Schizosaccharomyces pombe: one gene and its partners. The protein of the gene in region 1 binds, or shares a complex with, the protein of each later gene. Each region holds a gene or a part of one and is shown in the gene's direction. Other genes may lie near its edges. The genes, in order: mhr1, mrpl25 and mrpl23.

Region 1 (3,503 bases):
ACATTCTTGTCCTTCATATTCAGTCAATAATCATGTAAACAATCCAATTGTCAAACAAAACTCAACATTAACACAACCATCGTTACGAAAAAAAAATACAATGGCTGCACCTGCTAGATTAAGAAAGCGTTCGGAAAATGTGCGACTTACACAAGCTAGATATGCGATATTTCATATCTTCCTTCCTTTCATTCTTACTTTATTGCTTTATCATAATTTTTATAATTATTTCGATCAGGCATTGGCGGATCTTAATTCTGTGGTTAAATATGTTATTGAAACTATAGTGTTAATATTTACATACGTGATGACAGTGATTATTGTTTATTGTAAGTTTTTGAGATGATTTGAATTCATGGCTAACGATTTTCTAGTTTCATTTTCGTTAATTAAATTAGCGTTTGAAGAAGCTTATGTTTATGCACCATCTGTAGCTAAAGCGAATGAAGGTCTAGCTAAACATGTAGCTAAAACGATTGCAGGCCTAGTTAAATATGTAGCTAAAGCAATTCAAGGTTTGGCTCATATTATTTTATCCTTACTGTTGTTTATTCTCGGGCTCGAAGTAATAGAACAAGATGAAGAGACTGGCGACGTTGAAATGTCGTCTATGCGAGGCCAAGCAATTACCACAGAGCCAGCAAGTGACAACACAATGGCTGAGGGAACCGATTGCAACACTTCTAAAGATGTAGAATCGGGCAGCAGCTAAAAGTCATGGCTAGAAAAAAAAATCAAGGGGCTGCCAACCAGCTGCGAGTGTCTTTTTTATTTCATTACTAATTTTCTTACTTTCCTGCAGAAGCTCCTTTTTTCCCCTTTATTTCTATTTCTTGTATTATTACCTTATACGCATTGTCACTTAATCATTTCCGATGACAGTCATCACTCTTTTTCCATACATACATTTTTGTCTCTGTTATAGAGTAAACACGATGTGTTTCTGTGGTGCTAGGAAAAGTCATTTAACTAATGAATCTGGTTGTCAATTATAAATTAATCATCCTCTTTATTGTTTTACCAAATTGATATACAATCCTTAATTATGACTTTGTAAGATTTGCGAATTAAAAAATTGAACAAGTAAGGCATTACTCAAAAGACGCAAAGTAGTGATTTAACCTTAGTTTCTGTTTAATGCATAAAATGAGGATTCCATATATCATTTTCAAGTGTTCGGAGCTTTAAAATACAGTATATACAGGAAATATAAGTTCAAACTTGTTTCTAAAACAAATAAAAATGAAAAATCAATTTGGTGTAGAGCGAAAACCTATTTTAAATAATGCGATTTCCCAATTCCTGGTCAGTAGCAATTTCTTTACAAAAAGAATTAAAAAATTATTCAATTTGTATTATATGAAATCTTTCGTATTCAAAATCTACCAACATTCAGCCCAAGCGAAAAGTAATATTTTTTGCTATGTCCATAGGTAACAATATAATTTATTTCAGAGAACACCCATTGAAATTGCTGCTTATATTAACTGTGTAACATAATATATTAGGTCACAGAGAGATTCATTGCACTTTAAGTATCGTTAAGCAGATACCGAAATACGTGAGCGACACTTTAAATAGATATTAAACTGCGTAGCTGACCAGTATTCAAATTTTCCGTCACTCACCGTATCATTAAAACATTTACTGTTTTTGGCTGCTCAACGCGCAATGCTGCCTAACATCTGTGCTAGCAAACGATATGTGTTTATTGGGCACAACGTTTATACGCGGACGCGCTATTAACAAACTTCGCATCTCTTACAAGCATATATGTAAACAGCCAATCTGTACTCGTAAAAGGAAAGAATGCTTGAAAAGAACAAGTATCTCTATATATTTAGGCATATTCAAACGAATCAGGTACTTTTATCTCAAGGAAATGTTTTAAAAAAGACTGCGTTGTTTCAACTTCCCTACCCACTTCAAAAGCCAGTCGCTCCAAATGGTATGCGACCCGCTAAGCTCCGTAAAGACCATTGGGTTCCTTTACTAAAAGTCGAATTTCCTAATGAATCAATGTTTCAATCTGTTTTTATGCAACTGTTAAACTATCGAAAATATCGTTCTGTTCAACCACTGACTAGTGACCTTTTGAAATTGCCTATACCCGTTCGTAGAAGAAAAATAATGCGACAAGAGGTTCCTAACACGATTGCGGACTTGGCAGATATTTTAAATAAAGAAAAATTTCCCGAAAATTCCGTTCGTTTGCAACTGAGTGATAAATCCGATAGTGAATATGCAGATTGGCCCCCTAGTGTGCAGATTGATTCAGAGGAAATTAAACTCTCGCGAGGTTTCCGTGAAAAAACAACCGTAGACGAAGCTAGATGAAGCATAATATCATTACTTCTCTCACTTTCTTCCTTCAAAAACACCCCTCATCCATTTTTAGGCTTTCTTAAAGGGCATTATATGAAGTATAAGCTAACACATATTCATATTAGCTCAATCTTTTTTACTTAATGATAAAGTCCTTTTTACTAAAGACGGTTACGAATTCTTCCCAGTGTATCCAGTGTATTGCACTGGACAGCTTCCTTAGCTTATCATTGTACTTCAATGCGAGAGTATTGGCTAGATACTCAAGACAAGATAAATTTAATACAAATCGACACCAAATACTCGTATCTTTATTATTTTACCATTTTGAAGTTTTCGAGCTCCTATGAAATATATGCAAGATTAACTCATCACTTTATTGCCTCGTTTTTTTTTTGTTTAAAGTTTGGTCCAGAATAAAAAAAAAATATTAGCATCTAAAATAGAAATCATGGACCAAATATTTAAATAGTTATAACAATGCCAAAAGAAAAGACTTTATAAACCAAAGACATAAATACCATAAATCGTTAAAGAGCGGTAGTTATAGTTAAACTCTTAGAGTGGATTAATGCACAAGGAGGTAATCCTTCCATAAATATTAATAAGTCATCAACATATTCCTCGCTTTTTCGAAAGCTCTTATGAGTGTCGGCCAAAGGTGCTGGTAAAACAGTAAACAATACAGAAGTATTTTTAGTATGTTTCAGCACGATTTCATTCATAATTATGTATTGAGATCTCGAGGATAAATCGTTAAACGTCAACTTCTCTTTAGAATAGTCCCTTCCTATTTTTTTCTTTGGTGCTAGTCTATCAGATGAACTATCTTCTCGGACCACGTTGGGCATCAGAGATGACTCAATAGTACTGTCAGAATAAGTTCTTCTATTTTCTTGTTTTGGTGATAAAGAACGGTTTCCGAAAGAAGATTCAGTCTCAAACGACTTTACTGAATGCATATGTGGCCCAAGGCGGAAACTCAATGGCACACTTAAAGGTGGAGCACTCTTATCAAAGCTGGCAGATCTAAAGTTATAACCAGACATACGACGTGGAAAACGAATAGGTCCTAAGGAATCTACAGTATTTCCTCTTCTTTTCTTTTCTTCCTGCCACCACGAGTCATCTTTCAGTAAGTTTTCAAGCTCGGAAGACTTGCTAGGTCTCACATGCTC
Region 2 (3,439 bases), on another chromosome or scaffold:
CCAGAGCGAAATTTTTGGAATTTTACGTATTTTTGGAGCAACTGATATTTAACAAGCTCTCATTCGCTTCCGTAGAGCAATTGGAAAAATTACTAGATCAAATTGTTAAACGGATGAAAATATGCTTCACATATTGCAAAAACGATAACCCATCTATCCGGTTGTTATATAGTGAATGTTTTTTTTCGTACGCTGAGATATACTTCCCTTGTCTACACTCCTTCGATGCTCAGCTTTCATCTGCCGCAAGCAAATGTGTCCAAATCTTAAGAGACATAATCACAAATGAAGAATTACAAACTGATAAACAAGAGTTGTCTAAGAGTGCCTACTCTGCTCCATCCATCCTTTTGATTGGCCTCAAAGATATGCTATTTCCCGAAGACATTTCCTAATAGTAATATATTGAGGGCCACTATTTAACACACATTCATTTCTTGCCTTTCCAATTTGACTCCTTTTGTTATCCTAAAATATTCACAACATTTGGTGGAATTTTTCTGGAAATTCAATGTACAAAGAACGTTGTGGTGAAAGTGTTGATCATCATATCCATTCGATGAACTTTGATATTATGTTCCCTTTTAAATCTTGGGCATAAGGGAAAGGTTTTCTGCTTTTAAAAATTGATGGATAAAAGAAACAAAGGAACAAAAAAAGCGAATATATAGTGGCCAATTTGTATTATTTTCAAGTACAGAAGTGCTTTCCAAATTCGTTTACAAGAAACTTTGGAATTTCAATCAACAAGCTATGTTTCTTCTTTTCCAATAAAGCGCATTTAATACAACGCGTTGACAACAAGATTATTGATCAAGTAAAGGAAATTTATCGCACAAGCCTTCATTCATAATCCGCGATTTGATCTATACGCATTGCTATCCTATTCCTTACGAGGGATAAATCGAAGGAAGTGATAATGGATAAAACCACACAAGCTCCAGAGAATTGAAGGTTTTTCAGCTATAGACCTAACTAGAAGAACAGGGATACTTACAGGGCTTATTAATATTCAACATTAAAGAGCGTCTTATCGATTCCTTGTCAACTTGATATCACCAACAGTTCTATGCACTACTAACTTTATGTCACACTGCGTTACATGTCATTATAAATAATTCCTTTAGTATTTCTTATATTCTCCACTAATTGGAGTCATCGAGAGATGACCGGACTTTTCCTACAATAATTTTTACTTTTATTTATGTTTTAAAATACTCAAAATAAGCATGATTGAGCTTTTTTTGCTTACTCTCAACATGTGTCAGTAGGAATCCGTACATGATCTGATATGATAATTTTACTGGCATCAGAAACTCTATAACCACACACAGCTTACTTGAACGGGCCTCATTTGATGGAATCATAGAAGCAATCACAACTAAAAACGATAATGATTGAAAGCGTTTGAATGCTACGTTGGCGGAACACAATCACACATACTGTCAGCCTTCAATAATTAAATAACGCAACCCAACAAAGATGCCTAAGGTAGAGGGACTAATGCGAGAGGAAGCCATCTACGCAGTATGTAAAATATTTTAAGGAGTTTGTATAGTTGCTAATTTAACAACGATATACATAATAACGAAATATGTTAGTGATTTTTATATTTGTATAAAATAATACCCTGGATAATTTTGTATTTATTAACTATAGTACTGCTACACCGTAATATTATATTAATTAGTATATCCATTGGAACTAAATTGAGTAACTAAGAATTAGTCCGACCTAATAAACGCTAATAGTCAATAAATTGGCTTAGAATTGTCTGAGATAATAAACTCTTTTAATATTTCAAACGATGAAAAGTTTCGATTAAGAACTCAAGAATGAACAGTAATGATTGATTTAACGTAATATAGCGCAGTTAAACGTTTGCCGACATCTTAGGTCAATGTATTTTCTAATACTAATAGTGCTTGACTCACTGTCTTTTTGAGCTTCTCTATAGATTAAAGAGGTTTTAACCTTATCATGCCAGTCTTTACCAAGGAAGCTTTGGAACGGCTTCCTATCCAATTAGGAAACTTTTTTAAAAAGTTTCCGCCTGAAAATCCAAATGCATGGACGACAAATCCAAATCGTCAAAATCCGTTTCTCGCAACTCGAAATCCTCAGAATGGCCTTGTAATCAACCCTTACTATTCCAATAGAAGGCAAGCTGAAATATATAAAGAGGCCAGGCTTCAGAATCTGGATAATTTACTCCCCCAACAAATGTCATGGCAGAAAGATTCTACACGCCATATTTTGAAAGGTCTTCTGAATCCTAAAGGAAAAATTAGTGAACGAAAGAGGGATGAGATTTTGGAAAATAGGCGTTTAAAACTTTCGGAATCATTGAAGAAAACTTCTAAATTTAAAAATGAGCGCGTATGTAAACTGTTGTACTTTCATGATTTTCTTATTTCTATCTACTGATTTTGATTGTGAAAAATTTACTATTATTATTTTTTTAATTGTCTTTATTAACACTCTTTTTAGCAAAAAGCTAGCAAAATAGCGAAACCTTCTCCTTTCTAAATTCTTCTTCTGCAAAGTGGGTTTCACGTAATACTGTTAATACCTTTTGATTCCTGTTTGTTTATGACTTCCTTAAATTTTTTTAAAGATTCATTTAAATTTACTGCTATATTACCTCAATTATGTGTTTACTAAAAGTCTTTTATTGTGCAGCATGATAAAAAGACTAATATACTAGTCTATACATTTTTGTAATCTTTACTAATAATATGATTCTACTTTAATAGTTAAATTACATTTAAATATTAGGTTTTGAATCTGCAGACTTAGGATTTTAGAATGTGATTTATTCGTAACTTTTCATTATGAAGTATCTTGTTATCTTTAATTTTTAGGAAGAGCGCATTTAAATATAAAAAAAATATTTAGCACTTTCTCAAAACTCATTACTTGTGAATGAGTAAGTAAGTCATTATATGATTTATGTAACTTTCTAAGCTTATTAGTGCATTTCAAAGCCGACGGAAATTCGTCAAAGTGATTTTAAGATTTTGGGGCATTAAAAAAAAAGATGGACAGTCGAGTAATTTTTTTTTCATCGGAAATTGGGAAAATGCAACTTCAAACAGCATTTTCAACGTCTTCTTCTCCTTCTTCATCTTCTTCACCTTCAAACATTAATTCATTGAAAGACTTAATCAATGGACTAGGAGAATAATCTTGAGCATCTTCCTCGTCAATCCCCTCGAATTCTTGATATCCGAATTTCGTATTTTTGGGTGTTTTGGGCGACTTGGATGTGCTTTTATTAGTATCGTCTTCTTCTTCATCGCTAAGTTCAAGCAAAGGAGATCTCCAAAAATTCACATCAGTAAAGCTTGAGACTTCATCTCGGGTGCTAACCTCGATGGGAGGGAAGAAATGATCGACAAGCTCATTCATGTAAACATAACTACTTCGGTGACCGCTT
Region 3 (3,179 bases), 2.4 Mb from region 1:
CTACGCAGTTCGGTATCTGTTTAACGATACGAAAAATTGCGGTACGTTTCTCTAGCGACCTACAATATAGCGGTATGCAATATTTAACTAACAATGTATATTTATTGTTATAAGAAGTCTATTAGTATCGGTCACCGATATAGCTAATAACTGAGCTGAGGAACGAGGTTCAGTGGTAGCTCTATTTACAATCTTTCTAATAGTTTTTAGCAATTTATTTATGTATGCAGAAAAGCAATTTATCCGCATCTATCAGCAAACGAATCTTAAGTAATATCTTAGCATATGACATATAGTGATACGCAACGTACTGTATCATAGCTAGTGTAGTTCTGCTAACATTAACATGTACTTCTTTGTTTGTATTATGCATATAGCATTAACCGCGTTAAGCTAAGTTAACGTTACGAAGAGCGTACAGAAGAGATTCAGTTTAGTAACTGCGAATTGTTAATTGTTCTCATAACTTAGCCTACATCTAGTGTAAGACGACGATTGTGAAAATTCACCTTAAAAAATTCAACAAGTCTTGCAAATTATGACTTGAATAATTTTCCATTAAGAAGAATAAGCACACAATGTTTTTTGATGACAAGATAACTTGACATTCTGCCATTCATGCGGTTTCATACACATCAATTAATTTAGTGCATAAATACAATATAACAAGTTATTAAATTTTAGAAGAAGAATGAAAAAGCAATTCCTTGTACGTAAAAACTCGTCAAATTCTCGCTACCTTCGTCGAGATTGCGTTATATGTTTACAAAAAGATGGTCTTCGGGCACAGCTATCTCCATGTGGGCATGACCAGTTCGATTATTCTTGCATATGTCGCTGGATGGATCAATCCTTGACATGTCCCATCTGTAAGAGACACGTAGATTGTGTGTTTTATGGATTTCATGGGTCAAGTTTGTATAAGAAGTGGTATACTCAATCTTTGGGGTCAAATCAGTATTCGATTTCACGACAATTACTACGGCAGCCTTCATTTTCCTCCAGCGAAAACACTGACAGATTGGCCGATTTGCTACGCGTACGACGTTTCATCTATCAAAAGGCATGGAAAAGCTATGAAAATCCCTCGCTTTCATCACATAGGCAATATCAAATACCCACTCCTATCCAACTAGCTTCTAGCGCATCTTTATTAAAGAAAGTGGAAAGCTTTATTGCTAAAGAACTTCTCTTGTTTGAATATTTAGATGGACATCAAATTAACTTTATACAAATCTTTTTGATGGGTCTCTTACGAGTTCAGAATATTCAACATCCACAAACCATTGATGAATTAGCGGAATTTATAGGCCATGAAGAGTCCTCTATACTCCTCCATGAATTGCAAAGATATTTACAATTCCGTCCATTGTCGATAAGCAGCTACTTGTATAGCAAGCGATATTTGTATGGTCCGGAAGGCTTAACAATGGTTCAGCTGTTGAGTCAAATTGAAAACATTCAGCATGAATCTGGTCCTGAGACGGAAAATTCGTAATCAAGCGTTAATTGTATATTATTGCAATTTACTGTGATTCTTTGGGCTTATCAAAAATTAGTTTTATCATTGTATCGTTCATTGCCTTATTTTTTCTAATATATACAAATGGTATTTTTTGAAGCAATAGCTATTAGCTTTATCATGATTAGTAAAGGAGGTTCGTATTATGAATTGAAAAATCAATATTTAAGAAATAATAAATAAAACAACATTTTTGAAAAATAGAAATTTTGTAGGTAACAGTTACCTTACTACAGTTGCTTAGCATCCAATATTTACCCACACCTACAAGCTTGAGGAAACATTATTTGAGCAATTTTCCTACTTCTCTTTTATTAGAAACCACTGATATTGTACTGTCGCTTTAAGAGAAAAATCAGAAGGAACTGAGGATTTTATGATATAGAAATCTCAACGCGATGTCAACGTTGAATGGACAAGTATGAAATTAGTTTGACAGTTTCTTTTACTAACAATATCAGACAGCATTGGCTTACGCCAAAGTTTGGCATCATGTTTCTGCAAAAAATGTTCCTCTAGGTAGGCTGGCTTCCCAAATTGCAACTACTCTTATGGGCAAGCACAAACCCATTTATCACCCTGCAGCAGACTGTGGAGATGTCGTAGTAGTCACTGACTGTTCTGAAATTGGGATTTCTGGTCGAAAACTCGAAAATCATAAATATTATTCACATTCGGGTCAGCCTGGTCATCTTAAAGAGTGGACGATGGAAGAAATGGCTGCGAAACGGGGGCACAAGGATTTGTTGAGAAGAGCAGTTGGTGGAATGCTTCCAAGAAATAAGCTTTGGGATAGGAGAATGAAACGTCTTTATATTTACGATGGAGCTGAACACCCTTATAAGGCAAACATATTTCGTTCCTACCATAATCCTGTAAGTTCGCAAATTGCGAAGGAATTATTCTCGAAATAAGTGTTTAAAATCTCCTTTAATTTTAAAAGGTAGTTCAAAGAACAAAAGCCATATCCCTACTCACTTAAATTTCATTGATTTTTTGCATTAATGTTTGAACATTCCACAATGTCGTATGCCCTAAAAAGCTAACACATTTTAATATTGTTCTTTCCAAAAAAAATTATTTTATATAAATTAATGTTATTGTATTCACTATAAGAAGCTGTAATGTATTTAAAGACACATTTACGTTTGTGAACTGGTAAGAATGAATGTCTGGTAACCATAAGAGGACTACAACTTTTCTTGCGAGTAAAAAGTAGATAACATGAGACGTCGACATAAATAACGACATTTGGAAATTATCTCCAAAGCCAGATAAACGCGCTAAAAAGTACCCTATCGTTGTGAAGAGCAAACAAATTCAACAAACGTCAACCTAAAACCTTGCTTAGCAAAGGCCATATAAAGTAATAAAATCAAGAGCCATTAACTTAGGGAGAAGATTTTACACTTCTTATTAAACATATCTACGCTTTACATTTTAAAAGAAAAGATAGCCAATAAGGAAGAAAATCAGGCAAAGAATGATAACAATATTGGGAGGAATTCCTGGAGATTCGGTTAAAGAAGCACCAGTGGAACTCGAAGGGTCAGCTGAATAAGAGGGCTTGATTTGTTCCAAGGCGTTGTCGGAACTATGAGCACCTGCAGCAGGTTTTGCCCCTTGTAAAGATTCACGAGTTTCAGATCCGAGATTT

What was found.
Region 2: mhr1 (region 1) and mrpl25 share a complex: the UniProt entries of both Schizosaccharomyces pombe proteins name them as parts of the mitochondrial large ribosomal subunit.
Region 3: mhr1 (region 1) and mrpl23 share a complex: the UniProt entries of both Schizosaccharomyces pombe proteins name them as parts of the mitochondrial large ribosomal subunit.

What each region holds. Positions count from the first base shown.
Region 1 is NC_003423.3:1,799,565-1,803,067, reverse strand, and holds mhr1 (mitochondrial 54S ribosomal protein mL67 ), read left to right. Parts: upstream 1-1,777; 5' UTR 1,778-1,809; coding exon 1,810-2,337; 3' UTR 2,338-2,855; downstream 2,856-3,503. Other genes in the region: SPOM_SPBC18H10.18C (uncharacterized protein), read left to right, coding at 1-329, 375-712; vacuolar membrane cation-chloride cotransporter Vhc1, read right to left, coding at 2,856-3,503. UniProt on the Schizosaccharomyces pombe protein: Component of the mitochondrial ribosome (mitoribosome), a dedicated translation machinery responsible for the synthesis of mitochondrial genome-encoded proteins, including at least some of the essential transmembrane subunits of the mitochondrial respiratory chain.
Region 2 is NC_003424.3:4,992,986-4,996,424, reverse strand, and holds mrpl25 (mitochondrial 54S ribosomal protein mL59), read left to right. Parts: upstream 1-1,917; 5' UTR 1,918-1,980; coding exon 1,981-2,379; intron 2,380-2,490; coding exon 2,491-2,529; 3' UTR 2,530-2,801; downstream 2,802-3,439. Other genes in the region: meiotic recombination protein Rec24, read left to right, coding at 1-395; lipin, phosphatidate phosphatase Ned1, read right to left, coding at 3,091-3,439. UniProt on the Schizosaccharomyces pombe protein: Component of the mitochondrial ribosome (mitoribosome), a dedicated translation machinery responsible for the synthesis of mitochondrial genome-encoded proteins, including at least some of the essential transmembrane subunits of the mitochondrial respiratory chain.
Region 3 is NC_003423.3:4,217,983-4,221,161, forward strand, and holds mrpl23 (mitochondrial 54S ribosomal protein uL13m), read left to right. Parts: upstream 1-1,790; 5' UTR 1,791-1,920; coding exon 1,921-1,941; intron 1,942-1,983; coding exon 1,984-2,436; 3' UTR 2,437-2,634; downstream 2,635-3,179. Other genes in the region: mrz1 (ubiquitin-protein ligase E3), read left to right, coding at 692-1,498; scs2 (VAP family protein), read right to left, coding at 2,963-3,179. UniProt on the Schizosaccharomyces pombe protein: Component of the mitochondrial ribosome (mitoribosome), a dedicated translation machinery responsible for the synthesis of mitochondrial genome-encoded proteins, including at least some of the essential transmembrane subunits of the mitochondrial respiratory chain.